Linked DNA regions of Drosophila melanogaster. The protein of the gene in region 1 interacts with the protein of each later gene in a pairwise test. Each region holds a gene or a part of one and is shown in the gene's direction. Other genes may lie near its edges. The genes, in order: CNPYb and CG17549.

Region 1 (4,069 bases):
GGCACAGCATCGGAAAGCGAGGCTCCATGGGTCCAGTTCGAAAGTAGTAGCCCAAGGTCTTGATGGTGGCCTCCAAATATCCGTGTGAACAAAGCCAAACACCGGGACAAGTGAGCTGAAAATGGAAGGAGCCTTGATGTCACAGGTACACTTCAATCGACATAGCCACAAACCGCATGGAGCTGCAGATCTAACTTTACGTAGAATCTCTTGTGGGACATTTGCTGCCTGATCCTAAGTGAAAGTCTGCCGGAAAATAGCCAACTGCTTGGGGCGGGAATCGAGAATTGGGGGGCGAAAGCGCATGGTTCTTTGTTTTGGAGCCCACTGGTTGCCGGGGCAGCGGTTGAAAGTGAATTTCAAAGTCGATTACTGGTCGATAACGCAGGGAATTTTGATTGATAAGCAAAAGAGTTGAAAGTGATGTGTATAGAATGTATAGTGTAACTATACAATGTGAAGAGTACTTAAAGAATTGAATAGTTTTTGAATTAATTAAGAAATAATACAAAAATATGATAGTAAAATACTAAAAAAAATCTATTTTAGAATAATTAGCTAACTCACATTTTTCCATGTTTTCATTTTCTATAGCTTTAACTACTGATAATACGGCTTCCGTGGGAACAAAGTATTTCTCACAGTGATAGCAGCAACCGATAGGAAATCCCGACCACAATGTGCATCACTAGTCACAGCAATAGTAAACAGCGGGCACAGTCCACAAAGAAAACCATTGCCGCCGGTAGAGATGGCTGCAGTTTCGGATATTCCAGTGCACCTGCCCAAGCTGCTGGCTCTGTTCAAGACGGTGGTGCCCAAGCTGGTGAACAACAAGCACAAGGGACAGTACGGACGCATTGGAGTGATCGGTGGGTCCCTGGAGTACACCGGAGCGCCGTACTTCGCGGCCATTTCCTCGATAAGAGTGGGCGCTGACCTGGCGCATGTGTTCTGCCATTCAAATGCGTCGGCCATTATCAAGTCCTACAGTCCCGATCTTATCGTGCATCCAGTGCTAGACTGTGTGGATGCAGTGGAGAGAATAGCGCCCTGGTTAGAGCGACTTCACGTCGTTGTGAGTAGCCCCCCCCCCCCACCTACATACGTATATGCTACATTTATACAATTAAATGCTAAATTTAGAATCGTTAAGGTTATTGGACCTGGACTGGGTCGGGAGCCGGGCATCCTGAAGACGGCATCCAACGTACTCAAGCTGTGCATGGACACCAAGAAACCAGTTGTCATAGACGCCGATGGACTGTTTCTGCTCAACGACAATCTGAATCTGATCTGTGGACAGCCGAATGTCATACTCACGCCAAATGTCATGGAGTTCCAGAGACTGTTTGGCGAGGATGACCAGGCGGCGCGCCAGAAAATGTCCCTCCTGGGAGCCGGAGTAACTGTCCTGGAGAAGGGCGCCAACGACAAGATCTATCTCCCTCACTGCAACGAAGTTCACTCAATGCCTAGCGGCGGTTCCGGTCGCAGGTGCGGTGGACAAGGTGACCTGCTCTCCGGATCTTTGGCCACCTTCTTCTCGTGGTCACTGCAGTCGGGTGAACCCAATCCCGCCCTGGTAGCTGCATGTGCCTCTAGTTACTTTGTGAAAAAGTTAAACGCGGCTGCATTTCAAAAGTTTGGCCGCAGCCTACTGGCCAGTGACATGGTCAATCAAATACCCAGCGTATTTCAGACCGAGTTCGAAAACAGCGATCCTCAATAGTCATTTACTGGACTTTGAACTAATTCCAGCTGTTTGTTTTTTAAAACAAGGCGACCATTAACCGAATTTTCAATTATCGTGGGATTTTTAATGTCTTTAACAGAGAACATATTGGAATGGATAGAAATGTTATGGGAATTTTTTAATTGCATTTAAACAACGTAAGAACATCTGGTTCGTTAATTTGAAAGCTGCATCTTGTTACAGATAAAATGTTTCGGCATTCATAATAAAACCATATTGATTCAATTTTAATAAACCGTTTAAGCATGACTTCTGTTTTAATAAACAAATAAAATAAAATAAAAGTTTTTTTTAAATGTATGTAGGATAATAAATCATAAAAAAGAAAATAGATTTGATATAGATTATTTTAAAGGTATTGGCGGGAAAAAGCTAAGTCGTCGGTTCCGTTCGGTTGTTGGTGTTTTGCAGCACTGGTCTTCTCGCGAGCGGCATTTCCACGTCAGGTTTATTATTGTTTTTTTGGAATTTATCAAGCAGTGAAAATGCTCCTCAAAAGACTGCCTGGCTTTGTAACACTCTGGGTCGTCCTGCAGTTAGCCGGAGCTGATTCGCCCGAGGAGGAGCAAGGCGTTCGCTACGCAAACCGCTGCGAAGCCTGCAAAATCCTGGCCACCGAATTGGAAGCTCGACTTGGAGAGACCGGCAAGTCGCACGACGTCATCGAAATCGGATACTCCGTTGACGATGTGAAGCCCAAGAAGCGCACTGAATACCGGCGCAGCGAACTGCGACTGCTCGAGTCCCTGGAGAACGTGTGCGAGCGAGTGTTGGAGTACAATCTGCACAAGGAACGCTCTGACAGCACGAGATTCGCCAAAGGTATGTCCCAGACCTTCCAGACGCTCCATGGCCTTGTGGACAAGGGCGTCAAGGTGGATCTGGGAATACCCTACGAGCTGTGGGACAAGCCCCCGGTGGAGGTCACCCAAATGAAGACCCAGTGCGAAAACCTACTGGAGGAGTACGAGGAAACCATCAGCGAATGGTACTTTAAGCACCAGGATGAGAAGTCACTGAAGAAGCATCTCTGCGAGGACCATGTGCTCAAGAAAAAGGCCGAAAGGGAATGCCTCAAGGAGCAGCTTGCTCCTCCGGAGGCTAAAAAGGCCAAAAGGGAAAAAGCCAAGGGCGACAAGGAGGAGCTGTGAGCCAAATAATCCAAGTATATCCTAGGAATCCCTACCATATTGTAATTCCATGTCGAAAAATGTAGATGTAGTGCAGCTGTTGTCGATGCAATTTTTAAAAGTAACACAAATTTTAGTTTTTGAATGAACTCAAGCATTGACAAACTAAATGTAGTAGTTACTTAAATTCCAATGATCTTACTTTTTTTCGAAATGGAAATCATTTTAAGTTTTACCACCTATAGAACAAAGCGAAAAGTGTTTAATTAGCTTAAGTGAACTCACTATGTCTCTCAAGCTAATCTGTATAACTTCCACAACGACTGAGCCACAGAATGCTACTGAAAGTTTCGCCTGGGGCCATTGGCTTATTGATTTCGGCCACGAATTGGGGTCGACAATTAAAAGTTGACTGCCCTCAATGAGGTGGCCAGTCATAACCCCCAGCCAGAAATTCAGGTGTTCATGCCATGTCCATGTCAATAAATGAGATTTTGCGCATTTTCTAGGAACCTACGGCACTGAATGGAAGAGAGTTATCCTTAAATACATGTACATTTTATAACTAACATTTAGTATTTACGATTAAATATAGATTATCTGTGCATACACATTTTGATTTTACTGGGGCACCTAATATGTCGTTTAAAAGGTATCTCGTCGCGAAACCTTTCAAAGTTTAAAAACAAATTATTTTGAATATACCCAATTTGCATTAAATGAGTTTGTTTAATTGTCTGTAATAAATACTTCGCGTATATTTCAAAGTAAAAAATATTATTATAATTAGTATTGGATTTTCCATCATTAGGTTCTAATTCGAAATCACTACGGGTATCTTTTAGTCGTGGAGTTTTCCCGCCCAAACGAGTTTTGTAAATTCAGAATCTAATTCGCAGTGGCGGGCGAAAGAACCCCTAGTTATCCATAAGCTTAGAGCTTCATCACATCCCAAGGATCGTCCATATAGTGCAGGATGGCTTTGTCGTGCAGTCTTTCGCCAAAAACCTCCTTAAGCAGGCGTAGAACGCATTCCTCAATGAATGCCACCTGATCCTGGGGGCAGTAGTCATCTTGAGCGGAATGGGCCATTGTAATGGCCACTGGAGGAACTGGCAGGCGCTGTAAGAAACGCTTGAAGTTTGCAAAGTACGTTTCCAACTCTTCGGCGATGCTGATGTGG
Region 2 (5,804 bases), on another chromosome or scaffold:
ACTCTGTGCAGTGCCGCCGTAATCGCAGTTCGTTACTCCGCAGTGAGGAAGCAATTTGGCCCGGAGCGTCATGGCGAGGAAATGGCCATTCTGGAGTATCAACTGCATGTAAGTCAAATAACTCTGCCATTTGAATGGGTTGGAATAACTTATTGTTCATTATATTTTATGATTTTGATTGGTGAATAATATATATAATCCATCCGCAGCAATATCGCATCTTTCCCTATCTGGCGGCTGCCTGCGTTCAAAAAATTGCCACTGAAGAGCTGACAAGCACCTATATGGAGATCATAGCGCGTTCCCAGGCGGATTCCAATGGATTTGATGTTCTGGTGGGTTATCTTTATATTGCAGCTAATAGCACATCTAATGAAAGCCATATTTTAGACCCAGAATGCTGCGGAGATCCACGCGTTGATCTCGTCGTCGAAGCCTTTGATCACCTGGGCAGCACGGGATGCCATCCAGGAAGCGCGAGAGGCCTGCGGAGGACATGGCTATCTGCAAGCAGCTAAGCTTGGCCAGATGCGCACCGACCACGACCCACTGTGCACCTATGAGGGCGATAACAACGTCCTAGGACAACAGGCCTCCAACTGGCTGCTTCGCCAGTGGAGCGCCAAGGAACTGGAGACACCCATTGGCAGTGTGAAGTTCCTGGAGCGCCGAAGCGAGTTGCTGGCTCTCAACTACGCGTCCTTGGCGCAGAAAACTCCAATAGCCAGCTGGCAGTGTAAGTAGATAAGAGCCTCCTAGTCATAAATGTTTCAAAAAAGATAGATGTCCTTCAAATTTCAACAACTATTGAGTTTAGAACTTAAAGATAGAAAAAGTATCTTAGTAGTTTTTAGAGAGACGTTCATGAGCTATTTTCTAAATTGGTGGTTAAATTGAGATAAAATATTATTAAGGTACTATGATTGTTTGATTAAAGAGTTCGTTTTCCTTCAGTCTCCCTTAGGTGCTACGAGTGGCTGCTGTGTCACCTGATGGCCAAGACCACAGCTCACATCGAGGGTCAGCTGGCGGCGGGCAGCAGTAAGTTCGAGGCGAGAAACAACTCCCAGGTGGCCGGAGCTCGGGAACTGTCCCTGGCCTACGCGGAGTACTATGCTCTGACGCGCTATGTGGATCACGTTAGTACACTGACAGTGGAGGCGCCATATGCATCCGTACTCCGCCTGCTGTTCGACGTGTATGCCATGTGGCTGCTGGAGAAGCACATGACCACCTTCTATGTGGGTGGCTTTGCGGCTGGGCGGGATTTCTCGGCTGCAGTGCGTCAACTGCTGCTGGACAGCTGCCTGAAACTGAAAGACGTGGCCGTGAGCGTAGCGGATGCCATTTCGCCGCCCGATTTCGCACTGAATTCGGTCATCGCCCGGGCGGATGGACTTCTCTACGAGAACTTGCAGAACGAATTTATGACCAATGAGGGGGCATTCCAGCGACCCTCCTGGTGGCGTGACGTAATCATTCCGCAGGCCCAGTCCAAGCTTTGAGGAGGATTACCACCGAGGATTAGAACCTAGTTACCAAGTGCCTGACTTCGATACTGAAGCGTTCGCTTGGCGCGTAGAAAACCAAGTTAAATTGGAATTGGTGTTGCCTCTCGATAATCAGGTATAATGGCCAACTACATTGATCCCAGTGAAAGGTTTTTTTTAATCATGTACCAACTATAACACACATTCGAGTACTTTAAGATGAAATCTGTTACTAGATTACGATTAAACGAGTTGATATGAAAGTATATATGTATATATAAGCGAGTTAAATAAATATTGAATCATTTTGCGTTACAATGTTGTGTATGTTGTATCTATAAATATAGGTAATTTTAATTGGGCCAAAATGGATTGGAGAAATAGTTAAGCCTTGCATAAAAATGAAATGATTTTATAAATGAAGTAAAAATTAAAGTTATTTCTTTTTGTTATAATCATTCGGCCAGTGAGCATCCCAGTTAGAAGACCTTATAATAAATCCCCGATTCGAGTGATTCGGTAAGCGTTTCCACTCTCTAGTCGTCTCGTCATCATTATCGTGGGCAGTCCACAGGTGTCCGATCGTTTATAAGAGGACCTGGGCCCACCTGTTTCGACTCAGACGTTGCCCAGTTGTCGATCGGTGAAGAAGATCGGCGAGTGCGAGAGAATCCCAGTCCGAATCCGAAACCGAAATCGAAAAACAAAAACTGGTCAAGAACCTAACGCCGAATCATAAACAAATCAAGTGAGTCAAGTGAGTGAGTTCGCAGTGTTTGTGTTTGTGTATCTCTATCTTGCGGTGGGACTCTCTATCTCTATCTATATGGAAATCGATCCCCTCTCCCGGTGATCACGGCCATATAACATCGATAGTTTTGCCAATTCGTTGCGCAGTTTTGGTTTAGTACTGGGAAGTGTATGTAGTGTTTTTAATATTAGTCGCTCTTATCAGCGAGATTTTAATGATGTTGTATGCGAGCTCATACTCGTACTAAAACCATTCGGTGATCATCAAAGTCAGGGGCGAAATGACAAAACACGTTCGTTCATCGGGAGTGCTACTCAGTCGAGTTCCTTTGTTTCAAGCGAGCCGTGCACAAAGCTGTTAATTGTTAATATTTTGGTGTATTAACAAAAATTATAAATCATCTTTAGACCGGTTGCTCCTGAGCCTTAAAGTTATTCAATTAGATCGCAACAATTGTTGGTGCGAACAAAAATCCCCGCTCTTAATGCCAACTTAATAAACTTTTGTAAGAAATGACAAGCAAAACGTTGGACAGATTGGAATATAAATGGCGCATCGAAAATATACTACAGATGGCTGGCAAATGGGGGGAAATCAAAATAATATAACAAAACAAACTGAAATATTCATTATACATTTCTAAACTCCGAGCAAATTAGTGAGAACTGGTTCGTTCTTCTCTTTCTCTCGTTTGCCGAATTGAGAGTCAATAATATACACAGTCATATGGAGATCCATTAATTTACATTTTGGGGTTTTTTGTTTTCGATGCGGATGGCCAGGCCTTCTTCCCCCCAAAACCGTGCCCCCGATTCTGATTTCTTTTCGCCAATTCATTATGGGAAAATCGTGTAAGGGCAATTAGTTGTGGGTTGGGCCAGAGAAATATATATGAATTGGTTGTAATTGCCGCCTATGAGGCTTTAGCTTCGTGTCCAGTTGAACGGGGAGGCAGTGAAGCCAATGACCCTCGCCCAGGCATCCAAGAATCGATTACTGGCAGCAGTGCATCCCCTATTCCGCACGTTACAATCGCGCATATTACCGGCTTGTGCAAGCGGATTTATGGATTCTGCCCCGAGCGGCTAATGACAATGGCTGTGAAAGTATCGGCAACAATGAGGCAATGAGGCAGTAGCTCCCAGTTGTGAGCACCACCTCTAGATGGGATCTTATATAAGCCATCTAAGCCATCTAAGCCATCTAGACGTCTATATGTCAGGCAATCAATTCGCGCTTCCGTTTAAAAAACATTAAATTTCGTAGGCTTCGAAATATGCATCGTTTCGCAAACAAGTTTCCCTTACACTAATTTCCAAACCAGTTCTTAATGATTCCATTGTTTTATTCTTTACACCCCCAGCTCCAAAGTTCAATCGCAAATGCCCAGATAAAAATATGTGGAAGGTTCTACTTATTTGTGTGGTGATGAGTGCTCTGAATGAAGAGTCATCGGGAGGTAAGAGAACCCACTAATGTGCACCTAATTTCCGTAATAATAATAATATAGGCTAATGAAGCTATACATACGAGTAACAATAAATTAAGGCAAATTTAAATTTAAATTTACCTTTCAAGCTCTATATTTTTTATCATCCACATGATGTTTTCCATTTCAGCAAAAACGGCTCCGACCCGCAGACGACGAGCATATGCCGGCGGTTACGCCGGAGGGTATGCCAGCAGTGGAGGAGGAGCCGGTGGCTATACGGGAAGCTATAACAGTGGCGGTGGACACAGCAGCTATGTGGGTACCGGTGGTGGTGGCGGTAGTGGCTATTACGATTACGATGACTATGGCGGCACTTCACCCAACTTTGGCATCATCGATCCGTATCTATTCCACCAGCAGCTGACGAATCATATTTTGGCCCAGAACTTCGCCAACCAACAGTGAGCATCGATCATATCCAGGGGATAGATTGTTTGGGATCTTTGGGTAGTGATACGGCGGGCTATGGGTAAACCTAACGCTTGAATATATCTGTTCTTGTAGAGCTATAACTGGTCTGGCCACGGCTGGCAATGCTTATGCATCCGCGGATGCATCTCTTGTCAACGACAACGATATGTAAATACAAGTAGCTAGTCCTTAACTAATCCCAATCACTAATACGGTATCACGGTATGTTTTTCCTTATTCTAATGTCATTTTGTGCGCAGTCGCATCCAGCAACAGATCGCCGCTCAACAGGCCTACCACGACAATCTAGTGCGCCAGAATCGGTACAGAGGAGGCACCAGCTCTAGCTTCAGTTCCAGCTCTGGATCCGGGTCTGGATCTGGATCGGGATCCTACAACTCACATCGCTATGCACCCAGCTATGCATCAGCTTCCGGATCTATCGGTTCCAATGGCTATCGCCAGACGGCCTTCATTAGCCCATCCAATCCGGTAAGAAATCCAACTGCCTTGTGCGGTCAAAGTGGATATACATTTAAAGTATCTGTTGTATCTGTGAATAGTTAAAAGTAATTAAAATATTATATAAATAGGTTATAAGCTCAAATAATCAAATGGCTGATTTAACTCTTTCTCAGGCCTCTCCCAACATTGTGAATCGCTTTGGCGGCGGAAGCGGTGGTGGATCCTCGTTCTCCAGCTCCAGCAGCTCCGGAGGAGGTGGTGGCAGCGGTGGTGGCTACAAGGGCGTCTCGGTCTCGTCCTTCAGCCACAGCAACGGAGACGGAACCAGTCGACGTGGAGCCCAGACCACGGTCAACGACAACGGAAAGATCACCTCGTATTCGGTGCACTCCTAGAAAGATCGGCGGAGACCCTCCACTGGTGGCTAGGCTAACATTTACTCCGGTCTGACAAAGCAAACCGCTTCCATTGAATATGTATAAAATATAAAAATAATATACGTGTATTTTATTGTCAAATTGCCGGACTTTCTTATCGGCGGGGGCTTAAAGCGAAGCTTTCTTTAATTAGAAAGTTTCGTTCTCCCTTTCTGGCTTAGGCAAAACAAAAAAAAAATGCAAATTTGTATATACATTTGTATATTGACCTTGATTTTGACGTTGCTGTTGGCATTGCTAGGTATATAAATGCTTAGTATTTACAATTCAGTTTGCTAGATTAGATTTACTTAATTTGTTTCAATGTTTTCGTTTTGTATTGGACGGATGGTCGTATCAAAGGTGACCGGAAGTGTTCTATCTCATTGAAGTTGATTCTATATTATTCTGTTCTGTTATTTCCGACTTTTTATTTTCGTAACCACAATATGCTGACAAAAATTGGAAAACCCACCATAACCACTTAGATAGTTCTATGTTAGTACTTCCTGAATTTAATTTGAAGCTCAAGGTTTTTTCTATATATTCCTTCACCTTGCTCGCAGTTTTTTCTAAGTTCAATGGGAGCTCATTAGCATTGTGTTCCCACCTATAAACATAATTTGTATACATATATGTAATTAATCGCAAATGTGATAATGTCGGCAGACGTACATGGCAACTATATACTGGGTCTTTCTTGAGCAAGGTTCCACGCCGATCATCAAAGCTGAATATAAAAAATATTCTATATAGGGCGATGATGTCGCAATTAACTT

What was found.
Region 2: the proteins of CNPYb (region 1) and CG17549 interact in a two-hybrid assay, tested with the Drosophila melanogaster proteins (one large-scale study listed by BioGRID).

The regions. Positions count from the first base shown.
Region 1 is NT_037436.4:19,094,315-19,098,383, reverse strand, and holds CNPYb (canopy b), read left to right. Parts: upstream 1-2,166; 5' UTR 2,167-2,241; coding exon 2,242-2,907; 3' UTR 2,908-3,494; downstream 3,495-4,069. Other genes in the region: CG14079 (uncharacterized protein), read right to left, coding at 1-115, 174-221; Naxd (NAD(P)HX dehydratase), read left to right, coding at 752-1,078, 1,157-1,732; MESR6 (misexpression suppressor of ras 6), read right to left, coding at 3,820-4,069.
Region 2 is NT_033779.5:19,386,370-19,392,173, reverse strand, and holds CG17549 (uncharacterized protein), read left to right. Parts: upstream 1-2,098; 5' UTR 2,099-2,238; exon of another isoform or gene 2,239-2,247; intron 2,248-2,374; exon of another isoform or gene 2,375-2,409; intron 2,410-3,604; 5' UTR 3,605-3,639; coding exon 3,640-3,700; intron 3,701-3,860; coding exon 3,861-4,134; intron 4,135-4,237; coding exon 4,238-4,312; intron 4,313-4,404; coding exon 4,405-4,636; intron 4,637-4,782; coding exon 4,783-5,004; 3' UTR 5,005-5,124; downstream 5,125-5,804. Other genes in the region: CG17544 (uncharacterized protein), read left to right, coding at 1-108, 210-335, 391-736, 955-1,505.